2 linked regions of the Arabidopsis thaliana genome follow. The protein of the gene in region 1 interacts with the protein of each later gene in a biochemical or structural test. Each region holds a gene or a part of one and is shown on either strand. Other genes may lie near its edges.

Region 1 (4,016 bases):
GTATCAAACTGAAAGAACAATTACAGACAGCAGAAAACACTGTATATAAAGCTATTGGACCGGCTGATTCATAGAAAATGGCTAACAAGTTGATCAATTTCTATGGAAAAATGTTTTTACCTATTGTTGTATATTGTTCCTGACCAGAACAAGAGTTTTGAACTTTACAGTGGGTGTACAGCTTCATAGTGTTCTTCTTCCCAGGAGGATCAACAAATTTGAAAAGCGGATTGCTTCCGTGGCACGCAATGCTTGGCCTGTTTGTTTACATACTTGCTGTCGGGAATGCAGCTTTAGGGTTTCTGGAAAAGCTGACTTTCTTGGAGAATGGAGGGCTTGACAAGTATGGATCCGAAGCATTTCTTATCAACTTCACGGCCATTATCACTATTCTCTTTGGTGCCTTTGTGGTACTCACTGCTTCTGCTGAGTCTCCTTCTCCTTCTCCTTCCGTCTCCAATGATGATAGTGTTGACTTCAGTTATTCTGCTATATAAAACACTTTCTACATTCCACGTTACATCTGTATCGCCCCTTGTACTCTCAAAACTCCATTTATGTATGATGCATTTGTAGCGAAAAGCTTTGTGTGTTACGGCTTTGCTACTTCTGGTGTGTAAAATCTTCAATGATATTGATGAATCTTTTAAATCATTTTCTTTTCTTTTCTTTTCTTTCATATTGCCATTCCTTTAACCATATATGCTATTTGCCTTATTGGTGTCAAAGCATTTAAGACAAAACAAAAAACAAAACATTTTTTTTCCGGTTTTGCCTTAGAAATTTGATTTACATTACAATAAACGCAATTTACGTCGTTGTTGATGGAGAAAAGAATTCAGCAGAAGAATTACAATCTGAAGCCTCTCTATAAATATGATGCTCCTGCTTCTTACATTTGGAACCAAACACAATGTCGTTAAGAGTCCAGTTGCTGTTGTTGATCATCATTTCGTTGTAATGGAACTGATCAACATCACCCATTTCTTCATAAGCTGAGAGAGTCTCTTCGACATTTGGAGCTTGACTGTGCTTAGAGTCGGTAAACTCAGAGGAATAATCGGTGTGGGGATATGAAGAAGAAAGCCATTCAGAGAAGAAAAGCCTTGGAATCTCAGGAGCAGAAGAACATTGATGGCTGTTATTTCCGTTGCTTTCTTGTGAGGGAGATGAAGATTTGTTCTCTAGAAGTCTCTGGAAGGAGAACACGTGATTCGAGATCAAGGTTTCCGGATTTCTTTTTCCACAAGCAACAAGTGATGATGATGAAGACGAAGGAGGGGAAATAGATTTTGCATCTTGTAAGCTCTGAGACTTGAGCCATTTCTTTTTCAAATGAGAGTGCCAATAGTTCTTTATCTCATTGTCTGTTCTTCCCGGTAAGAATTTAGCTATTTGCGACCACCTAATTACACCTAAATCATTAGTCTCTCTATAACTAGCATCTGCTAAAACAATAGGGTTAGGTCTTAGAGATACACTTACTTGTTACCCAAGGAAGAATGAAACGTCAAGATAGTCTCTTCTTCTTCTGCACTAATCATATCCCTCTTTAACCCTGGTCTTAGGTAATTAATCCATCTTAATCTGCAGCTCTTCCCATTCCTTTGTAACCCTATCAAATTAAATCCCAACAACAATTATCAAAGTTGACTCAGTTTGAGAAACTAAAAACTAATAAAGAAGAAGATGAAAGAGAGACCAGCTTTGATGGGAACAGTGGTCCAGCAAGAATGGCCATAAGAGAGGATGAAGCTCCTTAGCTTCTCGTCTTCTTCAGGTGACCATAACCCTTTCCTATGTCTCTCTCCATATTTCGTCTTCGCCATTTCTCTTTAGTCAGCTGTCTGTCCTGATACAAGAAAACATGTCTCAATACTATATATGGTGATTGAGACAACATATATATCACCAAACGTCCACAGATAGAGCCTACATACTTGGTGTTAAGAAATGACCAAATGGGCCTGCTTAGAGTAAATGACAAATGACATATATATTTCTATTTTTATGAAAATTTGGGATATAATTTATGTGTTAATTTCTTATGAGTATACTGTATGCATTTGTATAAGCAGTGAGGAGAAAAGTCATAATGGAATATGTAAGGATTAATTAGGTGTCAAAAGTCTGCTTGGATAAATTTAAATTATTGATATAATGTTCCAACTTAAAATAAATTAGCAATTTTCAGTATATATAAGATTTGAGATTCCTACCTATAAAAAAAAAAAAAAAGAAGAATCTTTGCTTGTTTTTGTTCTTTCACTTTGTTTTCTTATTGTTTGTTTTCCTTATATTTACTTCATTTATAATGGACGATGCCTTAAGAATTTACACACTAATCAGATAACATCTTCATATCCAAAAATCTCTAAAATGTCGGCAAGAATTTTATATTAACGACTTCTTTAATTTATGTTTAAATCGCGTCAATGAGTTTTTTGGTTAGAAACGATCATCCGGGTGGAATAATCTGTCTGATTCAATCCAATGATTGTGAATAATGAAGTAATGATTATAGAGAATCATCCAATCTGTTAATCTTTTCGTAAAGCATCATTAGCAAGCAGACAAATTGCATTTGCTAATACAAGTACTTGAAATAATTATTATATGATTTGAGAGCTCTTTTTCTCTTAATTATAAAATTTTGTAGTGAAGTCAACATTGAGCTCCTATTTGCTGCTAGTAATTATTTCATATTTTTTCCTCTCACGATGTTTTTCTTACATTCACACTGACAAGTGGACCAATAATAAGAGTTATTTGAGGAATATTGTGAATTTCAACAATTTGAATTCCTTCTGTCCCGATCGAAATGGCCTGTCCCAATTTTAAAAATACTCTGATTTTGTTTTTTACTTGTTGGCTCTTTTGGCCTGTGGAAAATGACGAGTAAAGAAAATTGAGAGGGAAACAATAAAAAAGTGTCTACCTTGTCTTGGTCGTCTTGATAACATAATATAATTTGCCGTCAAACTAATCCCCAATGAAACACGACTAATAAATTTTATACATCTAATGTTATGATGACTTAATCCTTAGCCCTCGGAGAATAAATTTTATACATCTAATGTTATGATAACTAGGATACTTTAGATTGTTCGTCTACAACAAAACTTCTCCTCCTTCGACCATTAGGCCTTGTGGTATGTTGATAAAACTTTATGAAATATGTTGACAAAGAAGGTTAAACATGGCTTAGTTTTATGCACCAAAATAAAAACATCATTCAACATTGAATGAAACACATGTTTTACGGTTAGAGAAGACAGGCGTTAGTCAAACAATGACAAATGCTTTTAAAAATGAGATACAATAATCTTTGTTTTTTGTGCTGACACTTTGAACCGGTTCTACATAAAAGCCAACAAGTCTATAATGCAAAAAACCCAACTCGCATCATTGGAAAACCCCATCTCTAATCCGGTAGCTACAGCTCTCTACCGTACCTAAGTAACTTACCCATCTGATAGGTTCCTTGTTCTTGAACACACCGAGTCGAAATCACGAACTAATCATGTTGAAATGGAATCTGGATAGCTGCTGCGGAATGGTTGATATAACCGGTCCATATCTCTGTTTCAAGAAAATAATATACGGTTAGATGTTTGAGGTAAAAACCATTTTCCAAAGGTTGGTATTCTGGATATAAGCAAAACCTGAACATTGTCATAGAGTTCGAACAAAGGGACGGCCAAGAGCTTCAAATTTTTGGGCACAGCAAAGTACTCTTTCTCAGACAAGTGAACAATGTAGAGTCTCTTGCATTCCTGCCATTCCACAAAAAAGAGGAGATATAAGGAGAAGAGTAAAGGGAAATTCTGAGAAGCTTTACATTGTGTTTTTTTACTACCTTTGGTTTCGTGATGTGAGGAGGGCAATACGGGTACATCATGGTTTCAAAGTTTGGACGCCACCATGTCGCAACACATTCTCCTACCTGTTAAAGGGACATAAAGTACCCAACGGATCAGGGACAGAGCTATATACATAACTCAATCAGACAACTG
Region 2 (4,019 bases), on another chromosome or scaffold:
TTTGTAAGACACATCGATCTCTTCACGTTCAATTTCATTACCATAAGTCCATAACTAATAAAAATGTTTGATGATGTTAATTAAGATCTTAAGTCAAAACCAAAGGTCGTGGAAGCATGTTTTGCTTTCGTTATAATTCAAACCTTAATTTACGTTTTGTTCGACTATTAGTGTGAACAAAATCATATACTATGTTCGACTTTACGTGTTAAAGATACTTACATAAAATTACTAAGGATAACTATTTTTAAAGTTTGGTGTTAATTTCTTTTTAATCAACAATTTTTTGTTTTTGTTTTTTTTTGCTATTTTTATAGCGAATTTAAAACTACTAGACATTGACCAAGAAGACTGATAATGCGAGGGAACCACATTCTAGCAAATCTTGAGTCTTGACCATCATGCCAAAATGTTTTACTAGGAAGAATATCAATAAGCTATCATCTTTTTCTTTATTAAATCAGTTTAGATTTTACATTAGAAAGGAACAAGTTGAATATTAACAAGACTTTTGACCATAATAAGAAAAAGTTATGAATTTTTGTATTATGTTCAGAAGAGAGTGTATTGGAGATAATTTGGAGAGAGCAGATTGAATATAGGTGACCAACCAAAAAAAGAAGAAGATATCATCTGAACAAACTTATTAAAGAACATTGACTCTCATTTCTCAGTTAAGTTGGTACTGAAATACATCAGGGATACTCTTGAACACAAGATTGGTTCATATGAAGGATCAGAGTGTCATAATCATCTCAGAATTTTTTTATACTAACTTTTATTTCTGATCCAGGCAGAACAAGATATATAAGCAAGATTAGTTTTGCAAGCTAATAAAAATCTTAAAAGTTGAAGACTAGAGTTGCAAACATTTCAAAGAAGCTCTCTAATCACTTTGAATTGAACGTTTTTTTAAGGTTGACAAGAATCAAAACAGAACGAGTACAGTTCTATGTACATACATCTCTTCATATATGTTTTGAGTCTCAACATCATTTTGTTACAGCATTAGCGTTGAGAAGTATTGTTCAAATTCTTGATCAATGGTAGGCTTCTTTGTCTCATGTAGAGTAGAATCATCTGTACACATGAAACCAAGTTAGTGAATCCCCGGTTCATTGAATCAATACGGTCAAACCAAAATCCGGTTTTCTTTACCTTGGTTAACAGTCCATCTTCCAGAGGACAGAACAAACTTAGCAGCATTACTACTACATCCTTTAGCATCTTCCTCTTCTTCTTCTTGTTCATCGAGATAGAGAATGTTTTCAATGACTTTCTCTGAAAAATCCTCTAAGTTCTGAGTCCCATAGATGTAATCTAGATGGCTTTCGAAAGAGATCATCTTGTCTTCACCGCATGATCCAGATGATTCCTCTTTCATCTCTATATCATTGTTACACTCCATAGAAGTTGTTGAGTTCACATAAGAAGACATTGAATACTCTGTATCAATCTCCGAGTTACCATTTGTATTCTCTGAACAAGCAACATTGGCAAAACAAGTGTGTTTTGACAGAGGTAATAACGATAACTCATCAGATTGATCTGTCTGAAATTTCCTCTTCTTGCTCACCTCAACTTCTTCCATTTTCAACACATTTTTACTACTACTTATGATCATGTGATGGAAACTGCAAAAAAAAAGAACAACACATATTAAGATAGTGGATGGATCTTAATCACCAAATATATGAAATTGACTTTATTAATCTTGAACTTAATAAGGGTTTAGGAAAGAATAACAGGAAAACTTTCTTAATCTCAACGATTAAATAAGCTAAAATCAAGATAAAACTTCAATCATCCTCTGCAGCTATGATTTTTGGTCAACCATTGACATGAATACATACATAATCAGTCAATCCTCTGTATCTTAAAGAAACTGAGAAGAAGCATAATAAGAAATTTGATCTCTAATGATAATATATAGGAATAGATTGAGAAACTGAAACCTGTTAATCTCAGATGGCTTCTCGTTGTTGTTATCCACTTCCACTTCAGGCATAGATCGCAGAGAGAGAGAGAGAGATAGAGAGAGTTCAAAGATAATTGTTTTTCTTATTACTCTTTTAAAAAATGCTCTTTCCACTTTCAGAGGGTCTGAAAATCTGGAAACTGCGTAACTTAAAATACATAAATTAAGCATCAAGTGTACGACGCGCTACGTTGGAGCGTGTATTACACGAAACATTTGAATCCGTTGATCTCGTCGACATGGTGTTTGATTTGGCGCGTGAAAAGAGTCTACGTGTTGGCGAGGTGACCCATCTTCTTACACGGGACCGTTTTTTATTTTTATCTTTCGCTCCATACGATTTTGCAATCTTTTTTACTATTGTCCCATAACGATTTTATGGGCTTTTGGATGAGGATGTATAAATATTTATCAATTTTTCCCTTACATAGGTATAAATATTCATTATCTTACAAAGATAATAGTTTATAAATTTTATATCATTATTTAAAGAAAATAATATGATGTAGAACTGTCTTTTTAAATTTCTATTAAAAACTTAATTTTAGAAGAATTTGGATTTTTTTTACAAAAATTTTTAGAAAAACTTCTCAACTATTTGGTAATTATTTTTTTGGACAATTTGTTCTTTTTCCAGATAAACTATTAGCTTGGTACCATAATGACAAAATAGTATTTTTAGTTCTTTACTTGGTCTGGTCTACTAGCTAAGCAAAAAAATATCTTACTAATAATTTATAATAATTGACACGTCATAATGTACTGGATCACGTGCATCGCATGTTTAGACGAGAGTATCATATGGCGCTGTCTGATGATTTTGGTAGCATTCATCATTGCAACTCGTAAGAAGAAAAGCTGAAACCAGATCTTCCTTCGTTAACTGTTTTCAGCTCCAGCTTCTGAAACGGACTGTCCAGAAACAAAATATCATCAGGTTTTATCTCAAACAACAACAGATTATATAGTTTGTATCTTGGACTAACCTGCTGTTTGGATCATAATAGAAACCGCTGATGGAACCATCGCTGCAGGAGAAGCATACGTAGTAAAATCCAGCTATTGTTAGTCCACAATCTGTGCCAACGTTTACAAAGTATTGCTCTTTCCATCTCTGCACCACCACAAAAATAAACCCGAGTTGCAGGAATTATGGAATACTTGAGAGAAAATGATGATTGGATTCGATAGGAAAAACTGAGAGTTATACCATAAATATATAAGGATAATTGTTAAGATCCAATTGCCTGCCACCATCAGATTCAACTTGTCCCTGCAGTATTAAGTCCAGAACGTTGCTTAGGAGATGTTACTGACTATACAAACAATGTTACTCGAGTGTTACCTGAAGAGGCGAAAAAGACGGGAACTTTGACCAATGTCTCATATCATCTTCCCTCCTGTGACAAACAAACTTTCAAAAATTTATTCACGATAAGAAATCATCAGTTTCAAATCTACAAGAATATAGGAATTGGGACATACGTTGCTTCCCATTTTCCGGTGTAAAAGGTATAATTCTTTCCATCAACGATTTCCCCTTCCCAGAATGTTATGACCTGACACTCACAGAATCAAGAATCGTGTCCCCTATTAGAAATTCAAGGGGAAGCAATATGAAGAAAAAATGAGTAAGAGTGTAAGGGCTTACAGGAGTGTCTGCCATGGGAACGTTTAGAGCTTCCATGGTGCCACAAAGATAACCATGTTCAAGGTCAATACCCTGTATCTGGACGTTGACTCTCCAAGCTTCCTCCTTCTGTTGATTAGAGACATTTTGCGTACCAGAAAATGCCTGCAGCACAGCATAAAAACATGTGTGTTCCTCATCTTTAGGTTCATTATGAATAAACAATCTCTTTGAGCCAATGAATGTTATACAATCCCAACTAGATACAAATGCACTTGAATTAAGCATACATGTCAACATGAAAAAGATATGAAGCCAATCAAAGCAGACAAGGCCAACTTCTAATTGGTATAACAAAAATCAGCATTACTAGAGAATCGTTATGCAACCAGAACACTTGAACAAGTTGCA

What was found.
Region 2: the proteins of LAF1 (region 1) and FHY1 form a complex in vitro, tested with the Arabidopsis thaliana proteins (one study listed by BioGRID).

Annotation. Positions count from the first base shown.
Region 1 is NC_003075.7:13,050,368-13,054,383, reverse strand, and holds LAF1 (myb domain protein 18), read right to left. Parts: upstream 1,882-4,016; 5' UTR 1,830-1,881; coding exon 1,703-1,829; intron 1,657-1,702; exon of another isoform or gene 1,616-1,656; coding exon 1,486-1,615; intron 1,406-1,485; coding exon 811-1,405; 3' UTR 642-810; downstream 1-641. Other genes in the region: ACYB-2 (Cytochrome b561/ferric reductase transmembrane protein family), read left to right, coding at 171-497; AT4G25550 (Cleavage/polyadenylation specificity factor, 25kDa subunit), read right to left, coding at 3,511-3,582, 3,666-3,776, 3,860-3,946. UniProt on the Arabidopsis thaliana protein: Transcription factor that promotes photomorphogenesis in the light by participating in the transmission of phytochrome A (phyA) signals to downstream responses. Probably acts by activating expression of light-induced genes.
Region 2 is NC_003071.7:15,800,689-15,804,707, forward strand, and holds FHY1 (far-red elongated hypocotyl 1), read right to left. Parts: upstream 2,106-4,019; 5' UTR 2,009-2,105; coding exon 1,956-2,008; intron 1,635-1,955; coding exon 1,159-1,634; coding exon of another isoform or gene 1,133-1,158; exon of another isoform or gene 1,081-1,132; coding exon 1,001-1,080; 3' UTR 730-1,000; downstream 1-729. Other genes in the region: AT2G37680 (glucose-induced degradation-like protein), read right to left, coding at 2,812-2,890, 2,965-3,092, 3,189-3,251, 3,324-3,378, 3,464-3,537, 3,630-3,773. UniProt on the Arabidopsis thaliana protein: Key regulator of far red / red (FR/R) spectrum-specific responses essential for the adaption to changing light conditions (e.g. de-etiolation), essentially by regulating PHYA shuttling from the cytoplasm to the nucleus and by directly regulating the expression of some target genes, depending on light conditions and phosphorylation status.